Linked DNA regions of Neurospora crassa OR74A. The protein of the gene in region 1 purifies or fractionates together with the protein of each later gene. This does not show direct contact. Links are inferred from orthologs where the notes say so. Each region holds a gene or a part of one and is shown in the gene's direction. Other genes may lie near its edges.

Region 1 (3,749 bases):
GCGCTTGGGGCTTGTTGTTGCTGCTGTTGTGTTGGTGTCGGTGTTCGTGGCTGAGTTTCTTGTCGCTGTTGCTGCTCTTCTGGTGTGGGTGTGGGAGGGATGTATGTTCCACTGGGCGGTTGTAAATAGGGGACTACCTCCTTAAGAGTCCTCCTCCTGCTGAAGTTGATGGGTTTGGGCAAGCGTCGTTGGATTTTCCGCCTAAGTGACCAGACGAGCCGGGCGTATGTCTTTGAAAAGAACCAGTAGCCGGCAAAAGGGGCGATACCGGCGACAAAGGCGCCGAGCCAGCTGATGATGCTTCCAGGGGTAAAGGAGGATGGGAGTTTTGGTAGGAAGATTGGGGAGTCATTGCAGCCTGGAATGAAGAAACCAAGGGTGGGAACCCATCTCGAGGTGTTCACAAGGCCGGTTCGTTGCATGAAGACGAAGATCTCTAGGTGTAAGTTGACCCAGGAGAACACGTACTTGACCCATGGGTATTCTGGCATGTCGAATCCAGCAAAACTATCGCTCAGGACATACGATGGCAGCCCGGCCCAGAGGTACTCTCCCCATGACTGCTGGCGCCTGTGAAAGTGAAATAGACGAGAAAAGGGAACATGGGCGTAGTCCTTGTACAGCAAGATACGCTGCCTCAAGCCGTTGACTCCCCAGACTCCGACGGTGGCCAAGACCTCGCCGGTGAGGAACAGCTTCCTCCCAATTCCATCTTCGTAGTACTGGTGCTTGGTGGCGGCTTCGTATAGAGCTTGGGCCTCGTTGATGCCACTGTCCGGTTCGGCAACGCCGATGACCAGCATAACCTCGTTGTGAGAGCGGATGATGTCTCTGTTGATGCGCCGTGTCTCTGGATTCACTGGTCGTCCTCGGTCATCATACAACTGCTCTGGGGCCCCGGGTTGGGGCTCGCCAGTGCCCTCAACTACCTCATCGTAGGGAGACCGGCCCTGTCCTTAGTGTCAGAACGAAGTTGTAGCCCGAAAGTCTTGCAACGATGACTTACAAGGGCCTGTGATGTCAGTGGGCCCAACCGCATCGTGAAAGGGTCAACTGGATTCAGGAGGTGTTTGTAGATTACTATCCGGCATTGCCAAGATGTTTATGTGTACATTACACGGTGAAATTTGACCAGTCAGTGGCCATCCTCGTGTAACAAACTAGGTCCTGTGCCAGAGATTGTGTTATGGTGAAGATAGTGGTGGTATAGCTGATGAGTGATGGAGACTGGAACAGACAGTTGACGTTGGTGGGGGCGATTGGGGAGCACAGAAAGCCGAGGGAGGGTCATGCTCCAGTTGCTCCAGTGCTCCAGCGTGGTTCGTCACGGATTCCTACAGGGGTTGGATCTGCATGGCGCTAAGATAACCTTATTGCCTGGCCTTATCAGCGGGCGGCAGGCAGCGACCCGCGAAAAGTTTTTGGGATTGGGGACTTTGCAGTGTACCACCCTACACTTGACGTTCTAACAGCAGAACCCCAAAGGCGGCGGCGCGCAATCGCAACCCTCCTTGCCTCTCTGTTTGATTTAATCCACTTGTACAGCCAGACACTCCGTCACCACAATGGCGTACAGGCAAACCACCACCAAGACGACCTTCGAGGTCAACAATGTCATCCAGCCCATTTTCACAGGAGGTTCCGTAGCCCTCGACAATGGCGCTAGGATCCTCGCGACCACCCTCGGCGAGCAGGCCGTCCTCACAGAGCTCAACACCGGCAAGCAGCTCGCCGAGATCGAGGGCGACGGAGAGCCCATCTCGACCCTCACCATCACCCCTTCGGCCTCCCACCTGATTGTCTGCTCTCGTTCTCTTACTATGCGCATATACTCCCTCAAGGTCTCACCAGATTACGATTCCATCGAAGCCACCCTTGTACGCACCACGAAGCCCCACGCCACCCCCGTCGTGGTTCTCGCGGTCGACCGAACTAGCACCCTTCTTGCCACCGGTGCTGCCGACGGCGCCATCAAGATCTGGGACATTGTCGGAGGATACGTTACCCATACCGTTAGCGGCCCGAGTGTCCTTATTTCTGCCCTCCACTTCTTCGAGATTGCCGCTCTCGAGGACCAAGCCAGCAACAAGAACAAGAAGAACAGGCGAAAGAGCACAGCCGAGGAGGAGCAAGCTCAGGATGACAGCGTCGCTTCAAAGTTCCGTCTTGCCTACGGCACACAGGACGGCAAGATCCGCATCTTTGACCTCAGCAAACGCAAGACCTACCCCGTTTACGCCGACCCGACTTCGAGGAGAGAAGCGCACGAGTCCAACGTACAAAGCCTTGACTACTCACCAGAACTACATGCCCTTCTCAGCGGTAGCAGAGATAAGACAATGACAGTATGGCTGTGGAAGGAGGGGACATGGAGGGGAACACCCATGTTGCGCCATGAAGGCGTTGAAGCTGTCGGCTTCCTCAACAACGGAAGCTTGATGTATTCGGCTGGAACAAGTGGCCTACTTAGGCTATGGGACACAACCACACACCAAGAAATCACAGCAAAGCAAGACGCCAAGTCGGAAGCCGAGTCGATAGTGTCAGCCCTTGCTCTTCCCCACAAGAACCTTGTTGTTTGCGCCCAGTCTGACTTCACCCTCGCCCTCTACCGCACACCTTCGGTCGCCGATGCCACCAAGAAGTCGACGAAGCCTCTGGAACCCTTCAGGCGCATCTCGGGAACACACGACGAAATTCTCGACCTTGTTTACCTTTTGCCCGATCAGTCTCTCATGGCTCTTGCAACCAACTCCGAAGATATCAGACTTGTATCCGTGGCGGATAAGCAGCCCCAGCTGGGCGACGAGGAGGAGGGCGCGGCATACTTTGGCCATGACGTAGCTCTACTCAAGGGACACGAGGATATTGTCATGTCTCTCGATGTAGACTGGTCTGGCCACTGGGTTGCTAGTGGTGCCAAGGATAACACAGCTCGCCTCTGGAGGGTTGACCCAGCCAATAACTCGTTCGAGTGCTATGCAGTCTTCACTGGCCACATCGAGTCTGTCGGCGCTGTCGCACTCCCCAAGATCGTACCTCCCGAGAACTCGGAGGCGTTCAAGAACCCCCTCGACCACCCGCCCGCATTCCTCATTTCCGGTTCCCAGGATCGGTTCGTTCAGAAGCGTGACATTCCCCGAACATCACAAAAGGGAGCCGTCTCAACCAGTCTCCGTCGCTTAGCCCACGAGAAGGATATCAACGCTCTCGACATCAGCCCCAACGGAAAGCTTTTTGCCTCGGCATCACAAGACAAGACGGTCAAGATCTGGGATTCCGCAACATTAGAAGTCGTAGGTATCCTCAAGGGTCACCGCAGGGGTGTCTGGACGGTTCGGTTCGCGCCTCAGGGCATGCCTGCCATTCAAGGCGAGACCGGCACTGCTGTTTCCGGTAAGGGTGTAATCTTGACGGGTTCTGGTGACAAGACCATCAAGCTCTGGAACCTCTCGGACTACACCTGTCTGCGCACATTCGAGGGCCACTCCCATAACGTCCTCAAGGTTGTTTGGCTGCGCCTTCCCAAGGCCGCTGACGACGCTGAAGACGAGGCTGCTGCTGCCGCCTCCAAGGCCAAGCAGCGCATCCAGTTCGCCTCTGCGGGCGCCGACTCCCTCGTCAAGGTCTGGGACGCCAACCTTGGTGAGACCGAGTGCACGCTCGATAACCACGAAGACCGTCTCTGGACGCTCACGGTGCACCCCAAGACCAATATGCTTGTGTCTGGTGGTTCCGACTCCCGCGTA
Region 2 (3,749 bases), about 540 kb from region 1:
CTCGCCAGCAACCTATCCACCCACGCCGTCAGCATTGGTTTTACAAGCGCGAGGTTCGGCAAGCTTTGGACAGTGAAGCGCACCATAATAGTAAAAGCAGCGCCTCTCTTAGCAACAATCTTGTGTCGCTGGTTGGGCAGATTGGCAATGCCAATCGGTGAGGCGCTCTCGGTAGTGGCAGGGGCCATCTTCAGCTGGGCGAAACACGAAACTGGGAGATAATTATGGGTAGAGGATTAAGTCACGATCCCGTTGCTGTAACGGCGAGAAGAAGCACCGGCAATTGGAGAAAAAGAGCGTCAGGCGGGATGCGTGGTGTACGGGTATGGTGGTGGTCGTGAATGGGAATCGAAATTAGGTTGGTGTTGACAGTGGACGGGTGGGAGCGAGAGGCAGACGGGGGATGGAACTGCAGTGGTGAGTGGACGGGGGACCCGTCGTGGAGCTCTGTGCTTTCGTTCAGGGGAATTTACTTGTTCAAATTTCCACACCACATTCATCTGGCCCAACCCAGCACCACACACCCACGCAGGAGAGAGCACCAGCGACGGGGACGGGAGCGCCAGGCCAAACCTAGCCCACACTGACTGAACCCCAAGCACTCCAGGCACTGCAGGGCCGCGGCAGCAGACGGACGGAGCAAGCAGCGAGCAAGCAGCATTCGATTCCATCCTCCAGATGAGGTGCCTGGGCGGGGCCACGGCAGCCGTCTGTGATGATGCCGAGAAGGCGCACGGTACACGATCCATATAATCCAATGGCACCTTTCGAGCCCGGCATTCTGCAGTAGTGTAGAGCTGCCACCACACAAGGCCGCTCTTGACTGGCTGCGCGGCAGGGAAATGAGTGGACCCTCCCCTTTTCCACTTGCTTCCCACACTTCCCCAATTCCAGGTCCCCAGAGACGGACCTACGCTGGCAGCTCTCCACTGAAACGCGCTTGCCAGGTACCCTCGCCGAGCATTTAATCGATGCGTGCCTTCCCTGCTAGCGCCATTGGCGGTGATCAGCCATTCATTGCCATGGAAACTTGGTCGACCCTTTGACCCTTTGATTGCCAGCTCTGCCAGCCTTGCACTGTGCTTGGTGACCGTGCTTGGTGGTGCCGTGCAGTGGTTGGTCTCGCTGCGGTCGGTGAGGCTGCCAGATACGCCAAGTCTTTTGCCAGCTGGTGCCAAAGCGAGGAGCTAACCCGACTCCATTCCCCGCCAAAAAGTTTATGAAATTTTTGGCTGGCAGAATCGCCATTGAACGTACGGGCGGTCTAGGCGCAACAGCAGCAGCCTGTAACTGAACTTCTGTTCCACTTACCTATACAGACTCGAAAGAGTCCTCCAGTTCCTGTACATAATCGAATCCCCAGATACTATCCCAGTTCTGCTCCATCTCCAACGTTGACAGTCGAGGCATGGAATAGTGTTTGAAAATGAAGACCGACTTCAAGTTTTCTAATCTACTGGGCACAGTCTACTGCCAGGGCAACCTCTTGTTCAGCCCGGACGGTACCCATCTCTTCTCGCCCGTTGGCAACAGGGTGACAGTCTTTAACCTTGTCGAGTACGTCTCAAGATTCCCTACACACCTGCCTGGCGCATGGCTTGTAAGCTGGCTAACACGGTCGCAGTAACAAATCATATACCCTTCCCTTCTCCCACCGAAAGAACATTGCGCGTATCGGTCTCACGCCCCAGGGCAACCTCCTACTCTCCATAGACGAAGATGGCCAAGCTATTCTCACCAACGTGCCCCGGCGCGTAGTACTATATCACTTCTCCTTCAAGGCTCCAGTAACGGCTCTCTCCTTTTCGCCATCGGGGCGCCACTTCATTGTTGGACTCGGCAGGAAAATCGAGGTTTGGCACGTTCCCTCAACACCCGACGCCAACGCCGACGGCGAGCTCGAGTTTGCGCCCTTCGTCAAGCACCATACCCACGTCCAACACTTCGACGATGTCCGTCACATCGAGTGGTCCCACGACTCGCGATTCTTCCTCACATCTTCCAAGGATCTCACAGCAAGGATATGGAGTGTTGATCAAGAGGAGGGGTTCACACCTACAGTTCTGTCCGGTCACAGGCAGGGTGTCGTGGGCGCGTGGTTTTCCAAGGATCAAGAGACGATTTACACAGTCAGCAAGGACGGCGCCGTATTCGACTGGCAATACGTTGCGAAGCCTGGACAGGACGAGGATATGGTGGACGACGATGACCTGGCCTGGAGGATAGTCAACAAGCACTATTTCATGCAGAACAGCGCCACCGTACGATGCGCCGCTTTCCATCCCGAATCGAACTTGCTGGTTGCCGGTTTCTCGAACGGTATCTTTGGCCTCTACGAAATGCCCGACTTCAACATGATCCACACTCTCAGCATCTCCCAGAACGAAATTGACTTTGTGACGATCAACAAGAGCGGCGAGTGGCTGGCGTTTGGCGCATCCAAGCTTGGTCAGCTTTTGGTGTGGGAGTGGCAGTCCGAGTCTTACATTCTCAAGCAGCAGGGCCATTTCGACTCGATGAACTCCCTCGTTTACTCTCCGGACGGTCAGCGGATTGTCACAGTCGCCGATGATGGAAAGATTAAGGTGTGGGATACGGAATCGGGATTCTGCATTGTTACCTTCACAGAGCACACGAGCGGCATCACTGCTTGCGAGTTCTCCAAGAAGGGCAATGTCCTGTTTACCTCGAGTTTGGACGGTTCCATCAGGGCTTGGGACTTGATCAGATACAGAAACTTCAGGACCTTTACAGCACCAGAAAGGCTATCTTTCTCTTGCATGGCAGTTGATCCTAGTGGCGAAATCGTGGCGGCTGGCTCCGTTGACTCTTTCGACATTCATATTTGGTCTGTCCAGACTGGCCAGCTCCTAGATCGTCTTTCGGGACACGAGGGCCCTGTGTCATCCTTGGCCTTTGCGCCTAACGGCGGTCTTCTTGTGAGTGGTAGTTGGGACCGCACTGCCCGTATCTGGTCCATCTTCAACCGCACACAAACAAGCGAGCCTCTCCAGCTCAACTCGGATGTTCTCGACATTGCCTTTAGGCCAGATTCTCTCCAGATTGCCATCTCCACTCTCGACGGCAACCTGTCGTTCTGGTCGGTCTCGGAAGCTGAGCAGCAAGCTGGTCTTGATGGACGCAGGGATGTCTCCGGCGGTCGGAAGATCGGTGATCGCAGGACTGCGGCCAATGTTGCCGGTACCAAGGCTTTCAACACCATCAGATACAGCACAGACGGATCGTGCCTTTTGGCCGGCGGAAACAGCAAGTATATTTGCTTGTACTCCGTCACCACCATGGTTCTCCTGAAGAAGTACACCGTGAGCGTCAATCTTTCAATTCAAGGCACTCAAGAGTTCCTCAACAGCAAGCTTCTCACCGAGGCTGGACCCCAGGGTCTCCTGGACGAGCAAGGCGAGGCCTCCGATTTCGAGGACAGGATAGACAGGTCACTCCCAGGCTCCAAGCGCGGCGACCCCTCCGCACGGAGGAAGAATCCCGAAGTGAGAGTAAACGGCGTTGCCTTCTCCCCGAACGGAAGTGCTTTCTGCGCCGCCTCCACAGAAGGTCTTTTGATCTACAGCCTGGACACCACCATCCAGTTCGATCCCTTTGACCTCAACATGGAGATCACCCCCACCTCTACCCTGGCCGTGCTCGAGAAGGAGAAGGACTACCTCAAGGCTCTCGTCATGGCTTTCCGCTTGAACGAGGCCGGTCTGATCCAGCGTGTCTTCCAGGCCATC
Region 3 (3,673 bases), on another chromosome or scaffold:
GGTCGCGCTTGAGGGGGAAGTATTGAAGCTTCTGCTTGAATCTGTCGACGGGAACGCGGAATGCGCCCTCGGGCACCTCGGTCTCGATATCAATGCTGGCGTTCAGGCTCTTGATGGCTTCGGTAGCGTCACCGTCGCTGCACAGGGGGATAACGGCCACGTTTCTGGGGGCACCATCCTTGCCGGCGAAAATGGAGGTCTCCTGGAGATGTTCCTTGTGTTTTTGCAGCTGAAGCTGCTTGTTACGGTTGCGACGGTCGAACTTGGACATGACTTGTTGATGGGGGGTCTTGCGCACACCTCTCTCCTCGGCTACCTTGCCTATAGAATGTTGAAAGTATTAGCGCTGTGTGGACGTTGTCGACCTCTTTATATGCAGCTGTATATTCATGTCTGCTTGGGCTTGGTGCGCCAAAGTTGGGTGAAGTAGAGCATAGTCCAAGGCAACAACCTTGGCATGAGGCACGGCTGTTATATGCAATCCGTACCTTTGGCAGCATTCCGGAGAGCACCCTTGGTAGAATGGCGTGACTTGAAGGGCTTGTTCGACGCCTTGGTCGTCGGCCGATGCGAGTGGCCGCTCACGGCGCCGGGCATATTGCTGGAATCGCCGCCTGCTTTGAACCGAAAAGGGAGCGAGTTTGACGCCAGGATGTTGGACCTGGGGAGGCGATGAAGAGAAGAGGCTGGGGGGTTGGGACTGAAAAGAGATTTCGAGAACCTCTCTGGTCACAATCCGTCTATCGAGTATCGAATAAAGTGATGGGGACAATGTCAATGGCGGGGCACTCGTTGCATTTTTTTGAGTTGTGCGAACATGGGCGGCCGTCTCGCTACTTATCTTATCGGACTCTTGTACGCAGTGGAGCCAATGATCGCTGCGGAACAGCTGCCCCATCCAACTTTTTAGTGGGTCCGGCCCCAAAAAAGTTGTCGAGGAAAGGAAACATTCAAAGTGCCAAAGCGAGGGACAGACACGGGCACACCGAGAAACCGCCAGACCAATTCCATATTCAGCCCCCATCCATATCCCGTCGCCGATCCAACTGTCCTAGTCCACCACACATATTACCCATTCCCATTGTGTCGCGTCGACCCATTGGCACCATGGAGACTACAGACAGGGCCGAAATCTCCCTCTCGAGGGCAGAGCAGCCCAGCGGCGCCGTTGCCATCAACAACGTCCGAAGCGAGTTCCGATCAAAGGCCGAGGCCAACAAGATCCGCAAAGTCAAGGCAGCAGAGAAGTCGTACGGCCGTGGTCGCAAGATCGATGTCAAGAACGTCAAGGACAAAAAGCTCAAGCGCAACCTTACCAACCTCGAAGAAAAGTACCAGACGGCCACGCTAAAGGCCAAGGAGGCCGAAATCCTTCTCGAGAATGCCGGCGGTTTCCTCGAGGCTGAACATGAGCTTGTGAGTAGCCATGGCTTGGGAGTTTATAGCCTCTTGCGCGATACTAACCGCGCTGGTCACGATAGGAACGCACATACAAGGTTCGCCAGGAGGACATCGTCAGCGAAGTCAACATTGAGGTCGCCCAGAAAAAGTTCGACTTGAAGCTCGACCAACTAGGCCCTTACATTTGCGATTTTTCGAGGAATGGCCGGGATCTGATTCTGGCAGGACGAAAGGGCCATGTCGCTACGATGGACTGGAGAGACGGCAAGCTGGGCTGTGAGTTGCAGTTGGGAGAGACCATCAGGGACGTCAAGTGGCTACACAACAACCAATACTTTGCCGTCGCTCAGAAGAAGTACACCTACATCTACGACTCGCAGGGCGTCGAGCTCCACTGCCTAAGGAAACACGTCGAAGTCTCCCACCTCGAATTCCTCCCCTACCACTTCCTGCTGGCCACCCTGGGCACAAACGGCCAGCTCAAGTACCAGGACACATCGACCGGTCAGATCGTCACCGAAATCGCAACGAAGCTGGGCACACCCGTTTCCATGACACAAAACCCCTGGAACGCTATCCTCCATGTTGGTCACCAGAACGGCACAGTAACGCTATGGTCGCCCAACTCGTCAGAACCTCTGGTCAAGCTCCTTGCCCACCGTGGTCCCGTACGATCCATGGCTGTCGACCGCGAAGGCCGCTACATGGTGACAACAGGACAGGACTGCAAGATGGCCGTTTGGGATATCCGCATGTTCAAGGAGGTCAACAACTACTTTACCCGGGCGCCCGCTTCGTCCGTCGCCATCTCAGATACCGGCCTTACCGCTGTCGGCTGGGGCACCAGGACAACGGTCTGGAAGGGTCTCTTCTCGAAGGAGAAGCCGGTACAAGAAAAGGTCCAGTCTCCCTACATGACGTGGGGCGGTGAGGGCAAGCGCGTCGAGCGGGTGCGGTGGTGCCCCTTTGACGATGTTCTCGGTGTCGGCCACAGCGAAGGGTTCTCGTCCCTCATCATCCCCGGCGCCGGCGAGGCCAACTTCGACGCCTTGGAAGTCAACCCGTACGAGACCAAGAAGCAGAGACAGGAGGGCGAAGTCAAGCAGCTGCTCAACAAGCTCGCGCCCGAGATGATTGCGCTCGACCCCAACTTTATCGGCACCCTCGATTTGCGGTCGGCGAAGCAGCGGGAGGCGGACAAGGATCTGGACGCCGGGCCGCCGGATCTGGAGGAGGAGATGCGCAACCGGGCCAGAGGCAAGAACAGCGCGCTCAAGAAGTACCTGCGGAAGCAGAAGAAGAAGAACATTATCGACGAGAAGCGGCTCAAGGCCGAGGAGATGTACAAGCAGATGCAGGAGAAGAACGGGGAGAGGCACAAGGAGAAGGTGGCCGAGCTGGGGCCTACGCTGGCCAGGTTTGCGAGGAAAGAGTAGAGCATGAAAATTGGTGGGAGGGGTGGAAGAACAGAGTACATGATGATACCCAGAATCAGTCACTTAATGAAACCAAAGACGGTCAGTCGACCGGATGCTGTGCTGATACTATATTTGTTTACTTGATATGCTTACGTGTATGTGGAGACTCATCTTGTTGCTTGATAATCTATTCAAAAGTAAAAATCAAGACCTACGCCTTACATGCATCAAAGTCTTTACCTGACTGTATCGCTCTCTAAGCCCAATGATACTTTTATACCGTCCCCGTTACGCCATTTTTCGTGCTTCTCGTCCTTCTCTTTGTATCTACGTTCATGCTACCGTCAACATAACACACTTTCTCCATCCTCTCCCCGCTACAAAGTCTTCCCCCTTTACAGCAACTTCAAGTGACCAGTGATCTCATCAACCAAGCTCTTAGGCGCCGGACCAACGCCCAGCACGGTCCTGGACCCAGAGGCAATCTGCGTACGGCCAGCATCCTGAATCACCTCAGCAGTGACGCCCAAGCTGCGCGCCTTGGCCATCAGCTCCAGCATCTCATCCTCGGTCTTGGTTTGCACGGCGATCTTGGCCTGGCCGTTGCGCTCCCACTGACGGAGCAGGCGGGCCGACAGCGACAGGGGCTCGAGCTGGGCGGCAGAGAAAAGGCGCTTGTAGCAGGCGAGGGTGGCGTGGGAGCATTGAGCTGCGATTTTGCCTGTTTGTTTTCCACCACAGCAACACGTCAATAAACCGAAGGTTAAGGGATAAAGTAGAAAAGAGATATCAGAAAAAAAAAAAAAAAAAACATACCCTTGGTCATGCCCAGATCCGTCCTCACAACCAAGACC

The links.
Region 2: the proteins of pod-5 (region 1) and NCU03794 purify together in Saccharomyces cerevisiae (affinity purification with mass spectrometry; 12 studies listed by BioGRID). This does not show direct contact. The link is inferred for Neurospora crassa OR74A from reciprocal best matches to the Saccharomyces cerevisiae genes UTP13 and PWP2.
Region 3: the proteins of pod-5 (region 1) and NCU01502 purify together in Saccharomyces cerevisiae (affinity purification with mass spectrometry; 4 studies listed by BioGRID). This does not show direct contact. The link is inferred for Neurospora crassa OR74A from reciprocal best matches to the Saccharomyces cerevisiae genes UTP13 and UTP7.

Annotation. Positions count from the first base shown.
Region 1 is NC_026505.1:1,894,600-1,898,348, forward strand, and holds the start of pod-5 (polarity defective-5), read left to right. Parts: upstream 1-1,472; 5' UTR 1,473-1,565; coding exon 1,566-3,749. Other genes in the region: NCU03627 (hypothetical protein), read right to left, coding at 1-950, 1,007-1,039. UniProt on the Saccharomyces cerevisiae protein: Involved in nucleolar processing of pre-18S ribosomal RNA.
Region 2 is NC_026505.1:2,437,497-2,441,245, reverse strand, and holds the start of NCU03794 (periodic tryptophan protein 2), read left to right. Parts: upstream 1-1,252; 5' UTR 1,253-1,426; coding exon 1,427-1,557; intron 1,558-1,624; coding exon 1,625-3,749. Other genes in the region: NCU03795 (cell division control protein 12), read right to left, coding at 1-12, 84-188. UniProt on the Saccharomyces cerevisiae protein: Required for bud-site selection and cell separation. Also involved in nucleolar processing of pre-18S ribosomal RNA.
Region 3 is NC_026502.1:3,253,174-3,256,846, forward strand, and holds NCU01502 (small nucleolar ribonucleoprotein complex subunit), read left to right. Parts: upstream 1-957; 5' UTR 958-1,107; coding exon 1,108-1,416; intron 1,417-1,481; coding exon 1,482-2,837; 3' UTR 2,838-3,027; downstream 3,028-3,673. Other genes in the region: NCU01503 (pre-rRNA processing protein Tsr1), read right to left, coding at 1-321, 489-597; NCU01501 (mitochondrial peptidyl-tRNA hydrolase Pth2), read right to left, coding at 3,215-3,540, 3,636-3,673. UniProt on the Saccharomyces cerevisiae protein: Involved in nucleolar processing of pre-18S ribosomal RNA.